2 linked regions of the Astyanax mexicanus genome follow. The protein of the gene in region 2 interacts with the protein of the main gene of each other region in a biochemical or structural test. Links are inferred from orthologs where the notes say so. Each region holds a gene or a part of one and is shown on either strand. Other genes may lie near its edges.

Region 1 (10,976 bases), on a different chromosome or scaffold from region 2:
GCTCTGCGATACAGTTAAAAAGCTCCGCGCGATAGTAGGTGAGCTTCGCGAGACAGTTAAAGAGCTCCGTGAGACAGTCCTCTTACTGTCCCAAAGAATCACCGCCCTAGTAAATACTGTAAGTAAATCGTACATGTGACTGTTTCATAGGCAGCTGTACTAATCCCTTAACTTTGTACTGTATTTAAAAAAATGTTCTGTCTCTGTTTGCACTTCAAGCATAGTCTTAATATGACTGGTTATGGTTATGCATAGCTAAACTACAAGAGATTTAGGAGAAATAAAACACAAACCATAAACTTAATATGACTGGTTGTGGTTTGCACTTATTGTTTGCACTATAAAAGACCTAGATAAGTTTTATTTTTATTTTGTATCCTTATTCTTATTTCTATTTCTTATCAAATCAATATGTGAGAGCAACCAGTCTGTTAAGTTTGCGTTATATGATTGTCAAATAAAAGTCAGTTATAGTTTATTCTTTTTATTCAATCTCGTCTTGTTCTCGTGAACCCAGTATCGTGTCTCGTCTCGTGATATTAGTGTCTCGTCACACCCCTATATTTAAGCTATTTAAAAAAAACTGCTGAATAATAAATGTATGGGTACTTTTTCACAATCTAATGTTACTAAAGAGCAGGATGTGTCCTATACTCTGTACTATGGTGAAGGTCTACATACTGTACACAATCTAACTACACTAATCTAGCAAGATCTGTACTATAGTGTAAAAACGTTCACTGTATAACAATACAACACAATCAAATCATCATTACTTACCACACCATTTGAGTTATGCACACCATTTAAGTTTATCTTGGTCACAAATCGTACGAAAGGAGGCGTCTCTGGGTATTTAGGTCCACATTCCACTCTCAAGCTGTACATCCTGTTCTCGTAGATTGTCTGGAGATGTACAGAGAATTATGTGAGTGACAGGAATAATCATAATGTCAATCATAGGTTTCTCTCATTTATATAAAATTTCAATCAATATTTTATTTGTACGATCTGGCATCATTTGCACACAAGTCAGTAGGCAACAGCGCTGACTTTAACCACTTCCTTTAAAAACAACCCCATCACTATTGTAATTTATATTTTCACTGACACAGTAGCATTTTGGTTTTGGTGCCATTTTAACACAACTATTAAACATAATAATAATTAAAAAGACAAAAAAAAAAAGTTTCATTTAAAACTATAAGTAGGAGTATTCCTGAGTGGGGAGGTGCCAAAATTCTATAGTAAAAAGTATCAGTGTGCTTTTGCTACCTTTCCTGCAAAACCACATATATTCATTCTAAAGGTCTCTCAACAACAGTTATTGGTGATTATCAGAGTTACTAACTGCAGAGGCTGTGTTAAAAGTTAAAACCCACGTTATGATGGTAGCAGGCTGCTGATACCAGATCAGTGTACATGGGGATATTCGAATAGCAAACTTAATAATAATCTGCTCATTAACACATTGCTAAACAAAGGAAAGGCAGAAATCGAAATAAAATGAGAGCTGGTAGGCAAACAGAACGGGCAATTGATTCCTTGTTAAAATCACCAGATTTATTCACTGTGACAAGAGACGGCAACACAATCTTTGCTTTAAAAGTATTATTTAAGTGCAGTGCATTAGTAAAATGTAAAGGAGAAAAACAAGCTGACCCCAACATAACCAAATATAATTCAGTTCAGAATGTTGGAAGTACTTTAGCTGGTCGCACAGATGTCTGATTATTCTGCAGTAACACTCACCCTGGGAGGTCCAATGATCATGCCTCTCCAGCGTGTGAGTGTCATGTCCTCATCGTCCTCCAGACCCCAACTCACTGTTCCATCACCAACGCCCTTCTGGCCTTCTTCCAGCTCTTCCAGCAGCCGGAAGTTACGAGGAACTTTGACGCCTAAAATGATAAAAAAGCAAAAAGTTATTACATTAATAATTATGAATACACAGTATACTTGACACTGTTTCACCCAAGTTTGAGAAGATTCTGAATCCAAAAATGTGTTTTTAAAATAACATATCATTAAAATGGTGGAGGAATACATATGCTATAAAAAAGTAGTCCCTAAAAATGTTTCAGTGCTGTGCACTGAAACTCATCCCAATTGTCCCAAAAGCTTAAACAAAGGTACATAGAGACAAGCCTAATAAGGACGATCACCAACTTAGATGGTAAATGAAAGCATATGTCTAAACCTCACTCACATAGAAAATTGTTACAGCAAACAATAGCGATGAAAACACATCCCACACTACAATGTTCACAAAATGCATATCACTAAAACAGTACAGGTATGAAGGGGGTAGTGTGGCAAAAAAATAGTCCTGTGGTTTGGATTTGTTTAGATTCCTGCTGCAGTGAATTTAAGCACCACTGCTGAGAATCAAGATTAGAGGGGGGTCACGAAAACATCCTGGAGGTTTGGTTTAGTCCTGCAGTGCAGCTCAGACTAGCTCATCTGCATGCACTGCAGACTGACTGCCAAATTAGTCTGCAGAAACTCACAATACCTTTCAATACCAATAACACCTCCACATACATGAGATTAGTGCATGAGTGCATGCTGTGCTGGTACCAGTGGATCAGATACAGCAATGCTGTTGGAGTTTTTAAACTGTGTTCACTCACTGTCCTCAACTCTGTCAGACACTCCTACCAATCTGCTACAATATATACAACACACACCAACACCTCATACACCACCACCATCACCACCACCATGCCAATGTCATTGCACCCAAATAATAGTGCCTTTATTGATATCTCTCATCAAATAGTCTATTTTGCAATCAAAAGTATTTAAACTAGGGCTGCAACAATTAGTCAATATAATCAATTTATGTTTTTTTAATTGATAGACCAACATAAATGAGCAAATTATACACAATTTTCAAAATCATGCAATCAAATAAAAATCGGAAAAGTGCAAAGAGTAGAAGTATTTAGCCTCCCTATATCAATACTGAGCCACATTCTACAGCAATTACAGCAGCAGTCTTCTGGGTACGTCTCTACTAGCTTTGTGCACCAAGAGACTGAGATTTTTGTAATTCTTTTTTGCAAAATAGCTTAATCTCAGCCAGGTTGGATAGAGAGCGTCTGTATTTTCATGTCTTGCCACAGAAGCTCAATGGGATTTAGGTCAGGACTTTGACTGGACTGTTCTAACACATGAATATTCTTTGATCTAAACCATTCCACTGTAGCTCTGGCTGTATGTTTAGGGTCATTGTCTTGATAGAAGGTTTCAAGTCTTTTGCGGCCTTGAAAAGGTTTTCTAAATTTTCGTTCCACTACTTTGTGTTGGTCTATCACTTAATATCTCAATAAATTACATTATAGTTTGTGTTTAGAAGATAACACAACGTGAAAAAGTTCAAGGGGAATTAATACTTTTGCAAGCAACGGGACCTCCATCAGCCGTTCACAGTGCATCAATCTGAATTTCTACAGATCAACTAACTAGTGTATGTATTTGCTTTCCCTGTGCATCCATCAATCAATCAATCATTCAATCGGTCAATCAATCAATCAATCAATCAATATATTCATCAGCTCCAGTCATACAACTCTTGCCATCTCACAAACCGGCCCACCCTCCTGCTCCCTGATCCTAATCAATAATAAACGGATAAATCCTGATAATGATGATAAATCTCTGGAGTTTAATCAGCTCTTTCTAATATATTGATCAGGGCGGGCTGGAGCGCGCGCGCGCAGGTGTGCTGCTGTTTCCGAGAAGCTTCCAGTTCTTTCCGCGTCATCGCGCTGCAGCCACGCGAGCTCGCGAGCCGGTCCACGCCCCACTCCCCCCAACCTCCCCCTCACCCCGCTCCCCCTAAAACACCGAGTTTACAGCGAACAGCGCGTGAAAGCGGCCCAACGGAACAGGTTAAGCCTTGCGCGCGGCGGCAGCGGTAAAATCCCGATCTCAGCCCCGCCGCCTCGCGCCCACGGACCCGCGCGCTGAGCCTCCCCGCAGGAACCCGCGTCGCCAGACCGGCGGGTTCGCTCCGCGCGCAGCTCCGGTGCGGCTCCGGTTCGGGTTTGATTCTGCGAGTCCGCCCGGATTAAACCTACGTTTAGCTTCTGAGTCGGTTTACCTGATCCGGCGGCCGCCGCCATCTTGTCGCTGAGCAGCGGGAGCGCGCACGCTCCGTATTCTTCTCGGGCACGCGGCGGATGAGGGCGCGTTCACGCGTATAGCGCGCCTCCCTCAGTCCTGATTCACTCTGGGTCTGTCCCAATATCCGCCGCGCCCTGCCTCTCCCCCTACTGCCTACACTCACTGCAATATAATAATAATAATAATAATAATAATAATAATAATAATAATAATAATAATAATAATAATAATAATAATAATAATAATTAAATAAAAATAATAATTAATAATAAATAATTGTTTATCAAAACCACCAATAACAGGCCACAATGAGGTATTTAATAGAGCATGAACAAAAAGGCAGTAATGATAACATTACAAGTTACAAATACAATGAAAATAATAATATTTGTATTATTAATAATAATAATAATAATAATAATAATAATAATAATATTGAATCGCCAACCCAAAACAAAACCTTACCTCATCTCTTCCTCCCACCAGGACTGACACTGTTTTTGCAAACAGCACATAAATAATAATTACGAGCATAATGCAGTAAATTGATCACTCTGGGACACTGTTAGCATTTACTTAATTTTATTTAATTATCATTTAATTGTTTATTTGAATAATAATCATAATTATTATTTTATTATTATTATTGTAGTTGTTAATGCCAGTAATTCACATTTATATAAATAAATGTTTTGCTTAGCAAGAAACCAATTTTACCCACTTCAATACTATATATCAATATACTGCAATAAATATATTTACAGTGGTTTAAAAATGTTTTTTTTTTTTTGCATGTTTGTCACTCTTAAATGTTTCAGATTATTAAACAAATTCAAATATTAGTTAAAAATGCAGTTTATGAATGAAGGTTTTCATTATTAAGGGAGAAAAGAAATCCAAACCTACATTACCCTGTGTGGAAAAGTGTTTGTCCCCCAGTTGAAACATAACTGTGGTTTATCACACCTGAGTTCAATTTCTCTTGCCATACCCAGTAGACCAAAAGATTCTCAAAAGTTAGACATCGTTTTTGAAGGTGTGTTTCCCATTACATCTGGTGTAACACCATATTATACAGTAAAACGTGTTGGTGGGTGTAGTGTAATGGTCTGTGTCTGTTTTGCTGCTTCAGGACCTGGACGAATTGCTGTGGTAAATAAAACCATGTAGTCTGCTGTCAACCAAAAATTCTTGAAGGAGAGTGTTCGTCCATCTGTTCAAGACCTCAAGCTGAAACGAACTTGGGTTCTGCAGCAGGACAATGTCTAATGTCTCTAATTTTTAGTCCATATTTGATGTATTGGCTTGATTAGCTGCACGGTAAATAAAGTTCACCTTCAGTGAAGGTTAATTGTAAACAATTATAAACAATTATTGTAAACAACAGTCCCCGTGACTGTTGAAATTAATAAATAATTAAAGTAAATGTATGTATGTGTGCAGTATATTCCAGCAGGACTGCAGCTTCATTATCGATGATCATTATATGATGAGTTTCTGCCCCCTGCTGGGCTCCAGCGGTACAACAGGAACCGGAAACACACGGTCAGCCGAAACACATCCACATTAATAAATTAAAATAATCCCCCACAGGAAAAATACACACTAATATTAATATTTTATGCTTGGGTTAGCATGTTCTGCTGCTCTAACACTCTATATCTCCTATAGTTCAGTTAATTTTTTAATAGTTAACAATTGCAGTCTTATGATTCATATCTCCACTTATTGTAGAAAATTAGAAGACACCCACACAGAGCTGTATTACAAAACAGCCTTGAATTATAATTTATTGCACATCCACTGAAAATGACAACATACAATGGAAGAAGACCCATCCTGAACAAACTAGATTACAAGCAAAAAAAAAAAAAAACACAACAACCCCAAAACAAAATTAAAACAAACAAAAACTAATTCAATTAAATTACAATATTGATTTTGTGTTCTTTCCCTTAAATTGTCTTCACCACAGCTTAATGTTACAAAATGATTCCGGCATGGCGGGAGGAGTGACGGCCGGCGGTTTGGAGTGAGCCGGCTAGTTTCTGCATAGGCTTTGAGAAACTCAATGTTTTTTATTATACAAGGATTTTACAGTAGAGAAAGACCTGGAGACCAAATAAAATCTCAGAATTTAAAGAATAACTGGATGCAAATGTGTCACTAGATAAAAGCTAACAGTTCATGCTGTTCTGATGTTGCATGTTAGCACATTAGCCTTTTAGAAAAAAAAAAAGGAAAAAAATGTTCTTTCTATGTTAAACATTTTTGGTCAGTTTAATGTTCATCAGTTTAGTCTTCCAATTTTCTAGGAAAAATGAGAAAACAAATCTTCTTGCAATTTCTGAAATTATTTAGATTTTTTTGCATCTTATAACAAGTTCAGTTAAATTTTCTGACTGTATATTTTGTATAAAAATAGGTTTTCCTCCATCAGGCAATTTTTAAGAAATAAAAATAAAATTGGATGATTGAAACCCCAGTTTACTGTCTTCAAATTTAGACTCGGTCAGAAAATTTAACTGAAATGTTACACGGTCCTGTCTCTGGTTGTAAACAAGCTAAATTATAGTATAATGCAGTAATAAAATAATATTATTATAACCAATGTTCCTTTCTCTAAAAGCAAAGTGAATTATAAAAAGGCCAACATACACAATTCAGATATTAATACCTGAGAACCACAAACAAATCAAGTACATTAGTCAAAATATGGCACTGAAAAAAAAAAATTGCTCCAGAAATATCAGGTCAAAGCGTAGCTACAGTTCCTTACGGGCTTCTATCTATAGTCTACAGTCTATATCGTTTATAGAGTCTGATATTATTATTGCTGTAAATCTTCTTAAGTTAATGTGTCTATTACGTTTACGAGAAAAGCATGACAGATTAATGCTGAAGTATTCTGGAAAAAAACAAAACAAGAAAAATTAAATATAAATATACAAACTATATTAACTTTTACTTAAATGACATAATAAAATGAAGAGAATTGGTGGTTTGGTTTTCCTTCACTACAAATCAATCAAAGCAATGAATGTGCACTTAAAACAGAAAAACAAAGCCCCAGTAGAATTTTAGTTTGAGAGTTTGAACCAAAATTAAAGATACAAATGCAAAAGACAATAATGAAAAAAAAAATACAATCTCACCCAATTTTTCACACTGCATCACTTTCATCAGTTGAGATTACAGGATGAAAATAATAATTATAATTATAATAATACCGGTAATAATAATAATAACAGTATTTACAGAGTAGCTGTACGTTAGTTGTTAGTACAGTGTCGTTATTAACATGCAGTCCTAAAACTAGATCTTTTTAATGGATACATTACAAACCCTTTCACCATTCTTTGATTCCCCTTTTACATTTTTTTTGTAGATTTTTTTTGCATATAAAAAGACCCCGCCCCTTCTTTCTGCTCACCACAACCAAAACAAAGAAAGAAACAAAAAACATCTGTAATTAAACCATTTTGATTGCTCACAAAATTTCGTTCACAGATATTGAACCGACTGATTACTGATGTTCAAAATTCAGAATATTAAAAACAACTTTATATTACAGAAATGAACAGCAGGTATGAGTGTATATGGCTTTCTTTAGCACACGCACGCGCACACGCACACGCGCACACACACACACACACACACACACACACACACACACACACACACACACACACAGACACACACACACAGACATGCACGCATACAGAGAGAGAAGAAATCAGTAGTTTAATTGTTGAACAGTGTGGGTGAGTCAGCAGTCACAATAATACAAATATTTATAAAAATTATGAACATATGAACACAATGATAGTAATTATACCACAAAGGGCAGCATCTGAAATAATCGTCAATGATCTCTTTAATCATCTGTATATTTAGAGTTTTGAACGAGCATTCTTGTATTTCTTTAGTTTTTGTGTATTAACATGACCCACAATGCAAATGTTGTCACTTAATTGATATTAGCACAGGGAAATGACGTTTTAATGATGAGGCAGACTATTCTGAATAGGCCTGTCACAATAGCTTTATATGGACGGTGTATTAATATACTCACAAATAATTGAGAAAAACAGTATTATTGTCATTTTAGGATTTGTCAAGATCTGTCATTTTATCATGTCATCATATAATGATAATAAAACAGCATAATCTTGCAATTACAGCCTTTTTTAGGAGCGCTGAACCAACTCTACTGCTTTACAACAAAACACTTATTTGTTTTGTTTATTAATAATTCTATATGTTTTTCTTCATAGTTTGGATGACAGTAATATTAATCTACAATGCAGATTTGTATTGAATATATATAACCTCTCTCTCTATTCACAATAATGGGCTGTCCTTGTTTATATAAATTATGTTTTGATATTGTACCAAACGTAATTATTGTGACAGGCCTAATTAAGATGCAATGTAATAAAAATAAAAGCTTAAAATGAATATACACGTCCTGCAACAGTGTTTAAACAGAGTCAACCTGCTGTAAATCTATTAAAATAAATAAATAAATAATGCATTTTATAGCGGATTAAACGCTTTAAAGGTGTCGACACATTAAACGCACAGTCTCATTAAATGTATGACATATTTGGGTCTCACTATCTAGATTGCTTAAAAAAAAAAGAAGAAAAATAAGAAAATAAGATTATAGATTTCCCCTTATAGTCAGACTGGTGCACGACGTAGGCGAGGAGAGACATAAGGCCCCTTTGACATTAGACCATGTGACCAACTTTCTTCAAACCAGTTCAAACCTTTCAGCGCTACATGACAAACCAGAACCCTACCAATGTTCCATCTCCAAAACCTTCAGACTGAAAATACATACACTATATATGTCCATATATGTATGGATACCCCTAATTAATGAAGGCATGTAGGTCCTTGGAGGTTGCACTCACTTCCGCTGACAAAGATGTGCAAATGAACACAAACAGCTTGTCTAGTCAGTGTAGAGAAGGATTGCCAATAGAATAGGACTCAGATCAACATTGACCTACTGGTACCGTGCCAAGTAATGCGAGGTGTGGACCAGTCTAGGAGTATGAAGCCCTCTAGAACTGAGAATGATTGAGATCTATCCAGTACTCCTGTTGCTGAAGGCTTTTACACCAGAATCTTTTACTCCAACAAAACACAGATAAACTAATTTAATACCCTTCATTTAAGTTATGACAGTAAAGATAAATGAGTTTAGCAGACGTCCCAATAATTTTGGCCATATAGTGTACTAAGAAGGAGAATGACGTTTAGGACACTTAGCACTAGTAGCAAACTTCAAGCTGATTTACTCTTTTTGAAAGGCACAGTCTTCAGTTTCGAGGAGCTATCGTAGCTTTCTATCCAATTTGAACACAACCACTTCTGACACCATTGTTCCTAAGGTTAAGGTGTGTTAAATGTAATATGCAGTAAGGCATATTAATCATTGAATTATACATATTACATGCCTGATCTTGTGCGTTTTATGGTCCCCGAGTAGAACGGGATGGTTTTCCATGTTCGAGTACCCAGGTAGTGCCGGGTTTAAGCAGGTGATACTGCACTCAATTTTGGGTTATGAGGCAACGGTGAAGCACTAAGGCGAGGAGTCAGTTTCTGTTTATTTGTAGTTTAAGTAAAATCAACAACAACAAAAAAAATAATTATTACATGAAGGTTTAATTTTTTTATTCATGAGCTGTGATTTAAATTACAATTTAAATTAGAATAAAACAAACAAAAAAAAGCAAAAGGAAAATTAATGTTTAATAGTTTTTAAAAGTATAGGAATTGGGACGGAAACCACCTGAATCAGAAAGATTAAAAGTATTACATGTATTAATAGAGGCTCCAAATATGAGAAATAAATGAAAAAAAAATGCTTAATTATTTTCTGTTTTCATGAACTTGAATAAATAGATCACATATCAGCTTAACGAGACCCATCTACACATCTGTGTAATCTTTAATTCGTTTTTGTTATGTTTTTTTGTTATTTTGTTGCGATATGATTGTGCATCTTTAAGATTTCTTTTTTTTATTTTATTTATTTATTATCATGAATAAAAGCTACAATAAATTAGCCTGTGCTGTATGGGTAATCAATAGCAGCCCTTTGTTTGTACCAATAGAACTAATTAGCCTGCACTCTTAAAAATGAAGGTGCTAGAAATGGTTCTTAAAACTATGCCACAGAAGAACCACTTTTGTATCCATGCAAGTAATAGAGAATAGAGGTCCTGGAGAAGCTGCACATTGTAGGCTGCTTTCACACCAGCCTTGCTTGGTTTGGACCTTTGGACTATTCAGTTTGGTTGGAACCAAAACAGCTGATGTAAAAGGAGGTTGGGTTAATAAAGTAAATGCAGGAAGAAGGTCCTGTGGCTTTGTAAATGATCTGATTATTAGCTTGATTAGGTTAGGATAAACAACAAACATGTTCAGGACAGGAAGTTCTCCAGATACAGTGTTAAAAAGATTCTTCACATTCAAATTAGCATCTATTTTTAACGAAATTGGTTTTTTTTAGAGGCAAAACCAGTTCTTCTATGGCTCTATTGCCCTTAGTAGCACTGCCATTTTTAAGAGTGTGTGTAGAGGAAAAGTACGGTAAATAAAGTAAACGCCAAACACTTACTGCTGCAGGAAACACACCCCGATAAATGAAATAATGAAAAAACAGCAGGAGAAGATAACAGCACACAAATGAATTAGTCCTTTGGCACCTCTGGGCACGTGGCAGTACTCCGCTGGGTGAAAAAAAATACAGTCCTGGAACAGGACGGGAGTTTATAGAGGGGCGTGTCTTTACCACAGTCTTTCACTGCCCCAATCAGGATCTG
Region 2 (11,827 bases):
GGCAATAAAACAAAATAAGCTGAGAGAAGCGGAAAAGCTGCAGTCCTTAAAGCTGCTAAAAAGCTAACGTAAAATATGGCTGCATCCGTATCAACAGCGGGGGTTCTGGGGAGTTCTGACAGCTGTACTCCATAACGCACATTTTGGCTGGTATAAGTGGAGCACGATTGTTATACCACTGATGACTGGGTCGCTGGTTTGAATACTGCATGGCAGAACAGGAACTCAGACCAGGAGACTGGTAAATGGTAGGAAGAGGTCTTCTGTTTTATCTGCACTGTGACTGAAACAAAGCGTTACTGCAGCATCACAGAGAAGCAGGATCAACCAAAGTACAACTACCTTTAAACTTTGACAGAGGCTCCAGAAAAAGGTTGGTTAAAGTTGCTTCACCTAATTGACCTTCTGATGTTACCTGCTGTTGTAATCTCACATGAGCCCTCAAAATCCCCAAATTTTGGCACTTGCTACTGTGGGTTCCACTGCCCTCCAGCCCTACTTTGCTTGTTGCTGCTGTGACCTTGTGTAAAGCACTTAACCCCAAGTTTCTCCAGAGGTCCTCCTGCAATATGTCTTCTACAATGCTATTAAACCCTTGCCTGTCCACAACAGGAAACTCAAACCAGAAGAAGATAAAGAATAATTCAGTGAATTCCAAATTCTTTAGAAAATATTGGACATCAGCTCACAATTTTTTCTGCTACATATAGTACTAAACCACCACCCGCTCATGTCCCCACTGTCTGACCCACTTTCCACTACAATCATAATCCCCTAAACTTCACCACGCACAGGCAGACCAAACTTGCAGGATAGCCACATTGGAAAAAATATCTGGGATGATGCAACACTGCAGATTCCTTCCTGAAAATAAATAGTGATGGGGAATAGATGAAGCAAACACTACACTAAGCTGCAGCTTTAAAAGAGCATGTCCAGTAAAATTGCTAAAACTGATTAAAAATATTCAGATTTTCTTCTCTATAATATGAAACATCTGAAACAAAACCATCAAATTTTAATTTGCTTATGATGAAAATATGCCAACAACCCTTACATTACATATTTTAACAATGGAACAATCCTAATAACAACTATAAACTATATATATCCTCAACAAGTTGGTAAATAAGGAGACTATTCTGCTGGTTTCACTGACTATTATCATATATGACTGACTATAGTAATATTTATACAACAGAATTTGTCTTGCAAGTTCAACATAAGTTTATACAACTATACAACACCTGATTATTTCCATCACGCAAGTGTGATGCATCAAAACAATGCTGCTTGCCAGCTGTTTCTCATGACAAATGTACATCCTGGAGCTATCTGGCACCATTCCCCCTCAAAAGTACCAGGTTTCTTCACACGGTATCCATTTAACCAGCATAACCTTTTCTTTGAATTAAAGAAAAGGTGGGCAACACACTTGCAAATCTTTTCCGTTTTGGCTTCTCCAACGGTGGCGTAGCATGAGAAAGTGAGTGATGTTACAGGGCAAAAAAAAAAGTGTGTGACAGAGCTGTATCAGCAGAGGAAATAAAGTTATGACCGTGTTATGACTGATTCATCCTCAGGCTGCTCGAATTGAATACATTATCATGGTCTCAAGGACTCTTTATTTGGGCAGTAAGTGTTGATTAGCTCTAATATTAGATTAAAAGTATTCTTGATAACTACTTTAAATTAAACTATTTTTGTTGAGAGAATTCTTTTTATAATACATGTGATTAGATGCCTAAAACCTTTATAGAGCTGTGGCAGAAGAGTCTTCCCTTCCGGTCTTTTTTATCAAGCCATTATACGTCCTCACAGCTATCTGATCTGCAGGTCCAGCTGGATTTAGAGGAGATATCACCTTTCCACGCCAATGCTGACACTGAGCTGATCCGATCTATGAACTAGAGTGCAATCTACTGCCTAGAGCAGCTAAACATGAAACAAACACGGTAAGTGCTGCCACCCCATAATGCTTTAAGTTAGGCAGCTGCCAGTTTTTCAGCTAATAACCCTAAATTGAGGTCAAGAAAATCCCCTGACCCTTGCTGCTCCCAACATCAGTCACCCATGCTTTTCATTACTGCTTACAATGTTTAAAAAATGTAAATGTAAGTAATTAAAATAACTTTTTAGATTCTCATCAATTAACCCCTATGACTAGATGTTATGACATACACATTTCTAAATCTCTTACATAAGACTGTCTGCAGACCAGGTTTGACAGGATACTCTGCTTCATATGATAGATATCTGACGCCAGACTAAAACGACAGAAAAAAATAAACAACGAAAGGCCAGCTATGAAGGTCTAAGATCTTAAGTTCCAGTAAAATATTTATGCTACTCTCTTCTCCCATTCCATTCCATTTTTGAACAATTTGAGCAAACTGGCTTTGGGTTTCGAGTGAATCAGGATGACGACACCAGTTTCGGAGCGGCCCGTGCTGAGTTTCCCCGCAGTAAGTCAGGTCTCTTATCTATATTTCAGAGTGGAAAGTGACACCACTGGCTGGGCGCCAGCATTCAAGGACCCGTGTTTATTTGATTGCATTAGAAAGGCATGTTCCACACCCTTTTCCTCCAGCCAATGCACTCCGCAGACTCAGCTGGACCAGGAAAAGGAGCTCCATCAATGTCCAGGCTGCACAAAAAGGTGTTTCAACATGGGTCGTTAAACATTTTAACCCATCCGTGCCCAACATCGTAATTTAAAATGATGAGGAGGAAAAAAAAAATCTCTATGCGTGTTCTGGCTGGTCTGAGACGATGTAATTTTGTATAAATGTGCCACAGATGAACAATCTAAAAGTGTGTTTCAGATATGAGAGATTTAGATTTTAATTCATTCTAAATTTTGAATAGATTTTTCCATTTTTGTTGTCGTTAAAAAAAAAAATAGGCCCACAAGTTACATTTTTTTCTGAACCATACAGTTTAACTGACGTGATGAACTTCTTTAGATTTTAGTACAAAAAAAAAGATATATATATATAATAATTAGTTGGTAAAGCTACAAAAAAGCAGCATGAAATATTTTAGCTTGTTTTCACAAAGCAGAAAGTATAATAATGTCCAAAGAAATCGAGCAAGCGAACAAGCTCACCAATGTCAGAAACCAACAGTACATACACATCAATGATTGGCAACCAGAGCTGAAGAATAATAATTTAAGCAGAGCTCCACACAAAGCGGACTCCTGGTCGTCCATAAGGCCTGAGGGAAAGGGGGGGTTAAGGATGTCAACAAAAGTGATTCAAAGCAGCACGTCAACACGGAACAAAAGCCCCATTCGGCCAGCCAGATGCTGAGCCTGGAGGACGCTATCTGACTATGCAAATCACCCCAGGGTGGGGGGGTGAAATTCAGCAGAACAATAGCCCGACACAACAGTCCAGAGGGCAATGCAAATAGTCAGAAGCCAATCCAAACTGCACTGTTAAATACATAACCACTTTATCCAGTCATCTAAAGCTGTACTTAAACATTATCATTTACATTTAGGACAGGTCCAACAGGTTGCTACGCAAAAGCTGTATACTGCTGCAAATGGAATGAACCATTTAAGCCATTAACTATTAAAAACACTACCCTAGAACTTGTCTTGAGGGTATCATTTCTAAAAAGTCAAATAAATTAAAATAAAACAAATCTAAAGTTTCTACTGAATTGTGCTGATGATGACTGGTTTTGCTGACATACAATCATGGCCACCTTGACCACACAAACTCACTGAGTATAACTGAGCTGGTTGACCACCATGAGAAGTTTGTCCACCAAACTAATCCACCACTATGACCAGCTTGACCAAACTAATCAAAGAGTAAGATGATAGCTGTGATTTTCTTTACCAGATCCATAAAACCAGTCTAATTGCATTACCAGGAGCACAAATTTTTAATGGAATTTTGATTATGTATAATATATATTACAGTCAATAGCTAAATGCTCATTAGCATTAGCATTTGTATCAGTCGGAATATATTTACGGACGTAGTCCTGGATTTTGTACTAGGCAGCATTGCAGCTGAGATACAACTCCAATTTCTACTCTTAAAAAAAGTAGCTATAGATGTTGGTAACTTATGTATTTAATGGTACGTACAATTCTGTGTAAATCAATGGTAATATAGGACTAGTCAGAAATATATTAGGGATAATGTGGTCCTGGTAATATGACTAGTATAGATCTGATATTATAACTTGTAGGCCTGTCAAGATAAGAATTTAGTGTGGACAATATTTCATACTAGAAATTATTGCGATAAACATTATTATTGTCATTTTAAGACAATTAAACGACACTGATATAATGATAATAGAATAGCATAATAAAGCAATTATAACTTTTAAGGGCAACAACATTTTAATAAATAGTAATTTACAGTTTGTGAAATATATAAGCTACTTTTTTTTCTTCACCTACTGCAGTCAACACTGTGTATGTGTATGCATGTCACTTATTATGTTAGTTATTAAAGATATTATATTATCTTTTATAGAGTATATTATAACTGTCATGTCCATTTATTGTACTTTAAGTCAATAATGTAAATACACTGACAGGCTGAACTACATGTTAAATAGTTGATATCTGAACTTACAAGCACTGCAAGGCAGATATTTTATGTATTATTACTGTAATTTAAGTTTTTACCATTAAAACACAGTAACTTACTGAGTTAGTACTTGTATAAATGGTTTAGACTAAAACGTATTGTGTATATTATAGAATATTAATTACAACAACTAATTATATCACGATACAATAAAATGCTGTCAAACTGTATTGTCCATCTCTTACTAGCTAACTAGCTACATATTGCAACAAAAAAGCTAATTCTGTGGAAAATTGTATAAAAAAAACATGGTTAGCATTATAATTGACACTTTTTATTAATTAACCCAAAGAACATAAGTGTATAAAAGGTGTGTTTTACACAAAACAGCTTGGTAAGTCAACTAAAATGAAAAAATAAAACAAAGCTGACAGCACCAGATACTTACAAATACGGTGATATCGTGATATTGTGTTACTATAGACTAAAAAGCTTGTGCAGGTTATAGAATATTACGATAACAAATTAACGCTGTATCACTATGCAATAAAATACTGTCATACTGTATTGTCTTTATTACAGCTAAGAAGCTAGTTAATTCATGGGAAAATGTTAACATAACATGGTTAGCATTTCAATTGACGAATTTGGCCAGCTAACCCAAAGAAAATAAGTGTATGAAAGATGTGTTTTACACAAAAACAGCTTGGAAAGTCAACTAAAACGTAAAATGAAACAAAGCTGACAGCACCAGATACTTACAAATTCGCTGGTTTCTTGTTTTTATATCTTTAGTTGTATGCACCGCTTTTCTTCTAGTCGTTTCTCAGAGAGGAGTCCGTTACAGCCGTTAATAATTTTAAATTAAAAAACTGTAAAAATGGTCTGTTAGCCGTTAGCTCAATAAAACGGTTCACACACACACAATACTACAGCTAGCTAGCCCAGTTGCTAAGTTGCTAACAAAGGCAAGGTATGAGGAGTTCTTTCAAATGTCAGAAGAATAAACACGCGAGCAGCGCGCTGTGTTTCTGGGTCTGACCCGGTTTCTGTATCTGACCCGGTTTCGTGAAACCCCTGCTCTCTAAATTCTCCCCACAGACGGCAGGTCATAAATAAGTGCAGCAGCGGCGGCGGCGGCGGCGCTCCGCTCTCCCCCTGCAGCTCTGAACATAAACACACACTGTGCTGCTGCTGCTGCTGACTGAGTGCTGCTGCTGCTGTGTAGTGGATGGAGAACGGGGAGAAAAGCTGCCAGCGTCACTGATTACTGTCAGATGCATTGTGGGAAATGTAGTTAGCCGGCTCAGCTGGCTAACAAAGAGAAACCTCAGCTAGTTAGTTAGCTGGTTATGTAGACGCTAACTTTAGGAAAAATGTTAATATTTTCTGCCAAACTCTTTTGAAATTCCTTTTTTTATTCAAAATTTTCTCTCAATCCTGACTAAAAAATAGCGTTAAAATACTGTAGCTGACACGTTCTTGAAAATGACAATGTTTTTTTTTAAATATAGACTGTTTATAATAACTATTTTATCATTGAAATATAAAAATTACTTAATAAATAAACATTAAAGTCTGACTTTTCACACATATAAACTCATATAAAATCCATAGAGTTTAATATGAGGTCGGCACACACTTTGCAGCTATAAAGGGTAACTAAACCCCCTGACTCCACCCTCAGCTCAAATAAAAAAAAGAAGAAAAATGGGAGGGGTAGTTTTTTAAGAAACACTGGGGTGATGTATGGGTTTAGGGGCGTGGACAGAAGGGAGCGCTGATTAAGCTGAGCAGTGTGCCTCTGATAGTGGTGAGACGAAGATGGTTGGACGTCCACAGGGGCCGGTATTATTAATTGACTGATTTGCATACCAAAGTTCACAGACACAGCATCCTCGCCTATAGCACAGTTGAACCTGTGAGGGCACTGCAGAGTTGGAAATGAATGCAATAAAAGTGTTTTTTTAAAGGTTAGGACAGGTTTATAAAAAATTAAGCAGGTTCAGGGGTTAAATCGATTTATTTAAATCACAGTGTTTCAATACACTGCCCTGAGAGAGCACAATTGGCCTTGCTGAGTGGGTAGATGGCGCTGTGTACCCACAGCACTCCAAAGGGTGATGTCAATCAGCACAAGGAGTCTGTGAGCTGATGTATCAGAAACAAGTCGCTGTGCTTTCCTCCAAGTGCGCTGTGATGCTACTCAGCAATGCTGCATCAGCAGCAGTTTGTAAAGAGGCGGTGGCCGACTTCACATGTATCGGAGGAGTCTTTACCCTCCTGGTGGTGGGGCATCAACACTGCATAAATTGGGAGAAAAAATGGGATTAAAATTAAAAATAAAATGATTTGAAAAAAACATGTGACTGTCCCAAATCAAGTTTTGTTACGTCACACAGTTTCGAAACGTTTCATGTTTCAAGTCCCATGTTTTGTACCGAAATGTTTCTAAATGAGAGCTGAAAATCTTTGTGACAAACTGTGTTTGTTGTCAACATGACAAGCGACAAGATTGGCCCTTATTAAAAGAGAAAAAAACATTGTATTTGAAACATTGGTTTTTTTTGTGGAGATCACACAAACTGCATTGCTTTATTATCTATTGCTCATTACTGGTCATACCATTATTTTACAAAAGCGAAATGCACCCTCCTTGGTCAATACTTAGTAATTTAACATAAAAAAAGTGGATTTTTGTGGCAAGGGCGGAGGAAGAGGTGTTAATCTCATTAATATTCTTCAATTGGAACCATATTTTATGCATGTGTCACCACCAATGCAGAATTCTTTCTTGGTTTCTTTCATGCAACAACTTGACTGTAAATGTTCTTATTAAATGGACACCTGAACATGTTTGCTTTCTTCTCCTTCCTACAGCATTCTCCTGCTTTGAGGTCATCTATTATTATAATGTTTAGTGTCAGGCAGCTGCTTAGAGAAGCAAGCCCATGGCCGATGATTGTTGAGATTAGGTTTGAGGATAAGGAGACTTTACAGAGGTTGAAAATGTGCAAAATCTGATTCTTTCTAACAACGACTATAAATAAGCCATTGCCCTAAAAAATTGATTAAGCTCTAAGACCTTGATAGAAATAGTCTGAGAGCTACTTTTTGTATGTTTTGTATGATGCTACTTTACTTTTGTACACTAAACCTGCCTAAAATGTTTAAAATAATGTTTCATCTTCAACTTTTTAACCGTTTGGAGATCAGTTCATCTTCTACTCACTAAGAATAGAAATGTTACCTTGGTCAGAGGCAGTGGTGTGCTCAGGGGGGAAAAAGGGCACTTTTTAGCGCACGTGGAACACTTCATTATAAAAAAAATGTGATATATCATTGATTTGGGCTAGAGCGGCTAGTTTATTTGGTGACCAGTCGGCTAAAGATGCTTAGTAGTTTGGTGCTGTATGAGACATTTTACTGCACAACAAAATGATTTCACGTTGGACTTAGAGGGTAAACGGTACGATTTTACTTGATGTGTATGTTACCTGGCTGGTGGGACACGGGGGAGAAGAAGCCTATCTGTTGCCGTGCGTGCTGTGCTGAAGACTCGCTGAACTGAACTGCTGCTGCAGCGCAACTAATGTGCCTTGCGCGCCACCGCGCGGGGTCACGTGACAGAGGAAGAGAGAGGTCGGGTGTGTGCGAGCTGATTTCAGGGCATTCTGTTTTCACTCGTTTTTAATCGCTCAGGTTTTCAAAAGATGATTTCAAACCGGCCTCAGTAAAATCTTAATAATAATAATATAAAAAAACGAAATTTCAAAGGGCACTTTGGTTGATAAAGGGCAGAGTTGGTGGTGCTTAGCACCACCTGATGTCTATGTCTGCACGCCTCTGGTCAGAGGTGACCAAACTTTTGAATGCCACTGTACATGCACTGTTTTGTTTAGTCCGATTCATAGTTGTCATTGCTGCTAGGTTACATGTTCAGCCTCTTAAGCTCTAAATCTCTGTGAGGAATAATAGGCCACCATGATCACCGTACAGCAGCTCAGGATGTTCAGACAGGCCAGACACACATAAACTAAACCTCTGACTGAACTCTGTGGTGAAGGTAAACAGAAACACACACACACACACACACACACACACACACACCCAACAAACCCATGCTCTGTCATAAGGCCCAGGGCTATTCGGGCACATTAGCCAATATACACCCACATGCAAACAGAGAGGTCTGGTTTGTGACACAATCCAAAGATGAGCACACTGTCGTCCACTGGAAAGCATTTTAAAAATACCTCAGGAGTGTCATGTGACTATAACTGATGCTGTCTCATTACACCTGTAAGTGCTATCTTTTTGCAGTAGCTGATAAAATCACAGTCCCAATTAGCACTTTAACACAACTCTGTCTTTCTCTTTTTCTATCTTTACTTTTATTACTATTTTTATGCTGAACATAACATGATACACTTACCCTGTTCAAAAAGAGCCAGAATAATGAAAACGAATTTGCTTGTTTTTTTTATTTTATTTATAATTTGACATTTGAGATGGAAGTCCAACTAGTCTCAGCAGCCACTTCGGTAACAAAAAACTGTTTTGTTTAGTAATTGTTGCTAAAACCCAACTTAAACTCGCAATCATGCAAGAGTATGCTGCACGTTTGCACTGTATGTTGTCTACTGTATTGTTGTTCCATGTTGCACCATGGGTCCGGAGGAACATAGTTTCTCTGCATGGTGTACCTAAGCCACGTGCCTAAGCCATGTGTGTGTGAATGTATATAAATATAAAATTATTTTTTAATACATTTTACATTATTAATGTGCCATACCATATGTCTGAGCATAATACGTAAGTATTTCAGCATAAAAGCACATATTTGAAATTATGTATCATTACTACATTATTAACAAACCAAACCGTGTGAAAATGAGGTAAAAAAAAAAAGAGTTGTGATTATAGGTGTATTAAACACCTTCCTCAGTACTGCTAAATGCACTGAGGGCGCATGCTTGACTCCTCCATTATGGCGGCCGGCTGACATGCCAGCTTCAATAGATGGCGTCAGTCGAAGCGGCATCTGTGTATACATGTCTATGGTCATTTCTCTGCAGTGTATGCCATATTGTGTCACAGGAAACAGTCACCCCAGTTTAGCTTTCTACTCCTTTAGTTAACTGCAGTTAAACTACATGACAATTTATGCAACACTTTTCACGAGAAGACGCTCCTGTCTAGGTGTTAACTTCTGTGAGATGGTAGCAGTTCCATCTTTGTTCATTTTTTTATGAATTTGCTTGAGTATTCTGACTGATAAGTAAGGCTTTACTGATCTTGTATCGATAAGCAAAGCTTTGCTTTGTAGGCTAAACCTTTCTTGTGTAAAAAAAAAAATCTCAGGTATTTTTGTCTCTCTTTTCCATATATTGCCATTGTTGACAGAATGAAAAGGGAAGTTTTTTTTGTTAAGTAATGCTGGGCACCTGTGTAAAGAATATCGTCGCTGTCCAATGAAAAACACTTATCTCCATTTTTGTAGATTTATGGTTTACTACATAATTTGAACAGACAAACTGTCCCTTACACTGTGCCAAAATTTCTTGATGAACGGACCAATAGAAATGCTTCAAAATGACCTGAAACAAAACTCTTTTTACATTGACTTTCATTGAAAGTTTACAAGGTTTTTTTCTCTCTCCTGTAAAGTTGCTGTTTTGGAGATAAGTGTTTTTCACTGGACAGCAACGATATTTAGAATCACCTGGGGTATAAATTGTGTTAATAAAAATGTTTTGGTCTAAACTCTAGCTTTGATCCTTAGCCTTTCATTGGGGTGTACTCATTTTTGCAACATGGTCTTGAATGAATTTCGTAGAACAATTAAATTTTTATTTGTGTAAATTAACAAATCCTGTCTGCAATCAATGGTCCAAGTTTGAAGGAGTATTTTATAGTATATTATTAGTATAGTATCTCATAAAAAAATCAACTCTGAAAGGAAACTAAAGTTTTTATGAAACATCTGTTGGGGTTTACACATTTATAAAATTAGAATTTTTATTTTACAAAACATAACAGGTCGGCAAAAGCTGTAAGTACCCTCTTAGCTGTGGCCCAACAGTTGAAAACCACTTCTTTAAATACAGTTCGGACTAAACCCAATGCAAATATATGCATTTAATTGCATAATAATCATTTAATTATGCAGAAGTAAAAAGTAATCAGTTGAATTGCCCATTAAGCCATGAGTTAAAACTGAAGGACTAAGCCTAACTGATGTTTCTGGCCTCCTGATAAATCCAGCTTTATGAAATTCCCCTCTGGTCAGCAGGTCAGAGCTGGGCCATGTTATGACATTCTCATATTCCAGTCCAGTAATAATGACGCCAGTCAGGCGAGTAAACAAATAAACAATCCAGTACACAACCCAGTCTGAGATTAACTGTCACGCGTCATCACATCAAGACGCAGTGACCTCGGGTCAGTGGACACACTCAAACACACACACAGACACACAAGTGCTCAAACACACACCCTGCATACCTGCGATGGCAAAGATAAATCAGTTTACATCTGACTGTCATTTGTATTTACGTCGCCACAGCAACAAAACCAACACCTCACCAACACCGTTTCTAAAGTTCTGAGCCAGGAAGCATGAGGGCACGCACACAGGAACACGCACCCACACCCACACCCACACACACACACACACACACACACACACTCAAGGTTCCATACAACACTTTGATCTTTCACACTCACATGCATTATGACATCACAGTGCAGCTCAATAATAACTATTCCTGTTTAAAATGCAGTTTATATGATTTATATTATAACAGCCAGATACACAATGTTGTGTTAAAAATAAAAAATGCAAAGAAATTTTTTAAACAATAGTGCTGTTTAGGTGCTCTATGTCTGTGAGTTTTACAAGTTGCATTACACAAAAATAGGTATAATTTGCTCCTTGGCACTTCTTATATTTGTGGTGTGCCATTTACTTTTTCTCCACTGCTGTGAATACTAACAGAACCTTGAACATCCACTCATTGGCAGCTGTAAACTTGCAATTGTTGACTAGCTGAGAGACACAGAAGTAGCATCTGAAGTGAAGGAAATATGCAGACTGAGGCAGTAGAGTATAATTACAGGATTTTACACCAATATGATTTGAGATACATAGCATCATAGTTCTGGAGCTTCACAAAAACCCTTTAATAATAGGACTCACAAGTTTAAAAATTGACTTTAAGTTTTTAGTTGGCCTAATTTGAGTTATATGAAATGTGTATTGT

The links. The genes of interacting proteins can lie anywhere in the genome.
Region 1: the proteins of peli1b (region 2) and ube2v1 form a complex in vitro, tested with the Homo sapiens proteins (3 studies listed by BioGRID). The link is inferred for Astyanax mexicanus from reciprocal best matches to the Homo sapiens genes PELI1 and UBE2V1.

The regions. Positions count from the first base shown.
Region 1 is NC_064431.1:14,977,044-14,988,019, forward strand, and holds the start of ube2v1 (ubiquitin-conjugating enzyme E2 variant 1), read right to left. Parts: upstream 4,263-10,976; 5' UTR 4,131-4,262; coding exon 4,109-4,130; intron 1,902-4,108; coding exon 1,753-1,901; intron 907-1,752; coding exon 781-906; intron 1-780. UniProt on the Homo sapiens protein: Has no ubiquitin ligase activity on its own. The UBE2V1-UBE2N heterodimer catalyzes the synthesis of non-canonical poly-ubiquitin chains that are linked through Lys-63.
Region 2 is NC_064421.1:30,823,349-30,835,175, forward strand, and holds the start of peli1b (E3 ubiquitin-protein ligase pellino homolog 1b), read right to left. Parts: upstream 5,787-11,827; 5' UTR 5,325-5,786; intron 1-5,324. UniProt on the Homo sapiens protein: E3 ubiquitin ligase catalyzing the covalent attachment of ubiquitin moieties onto substrate proteins. Involved in the TLR and IL-1 signaling pathways via interaction with the complex containing IRAK kinases and TRAF6.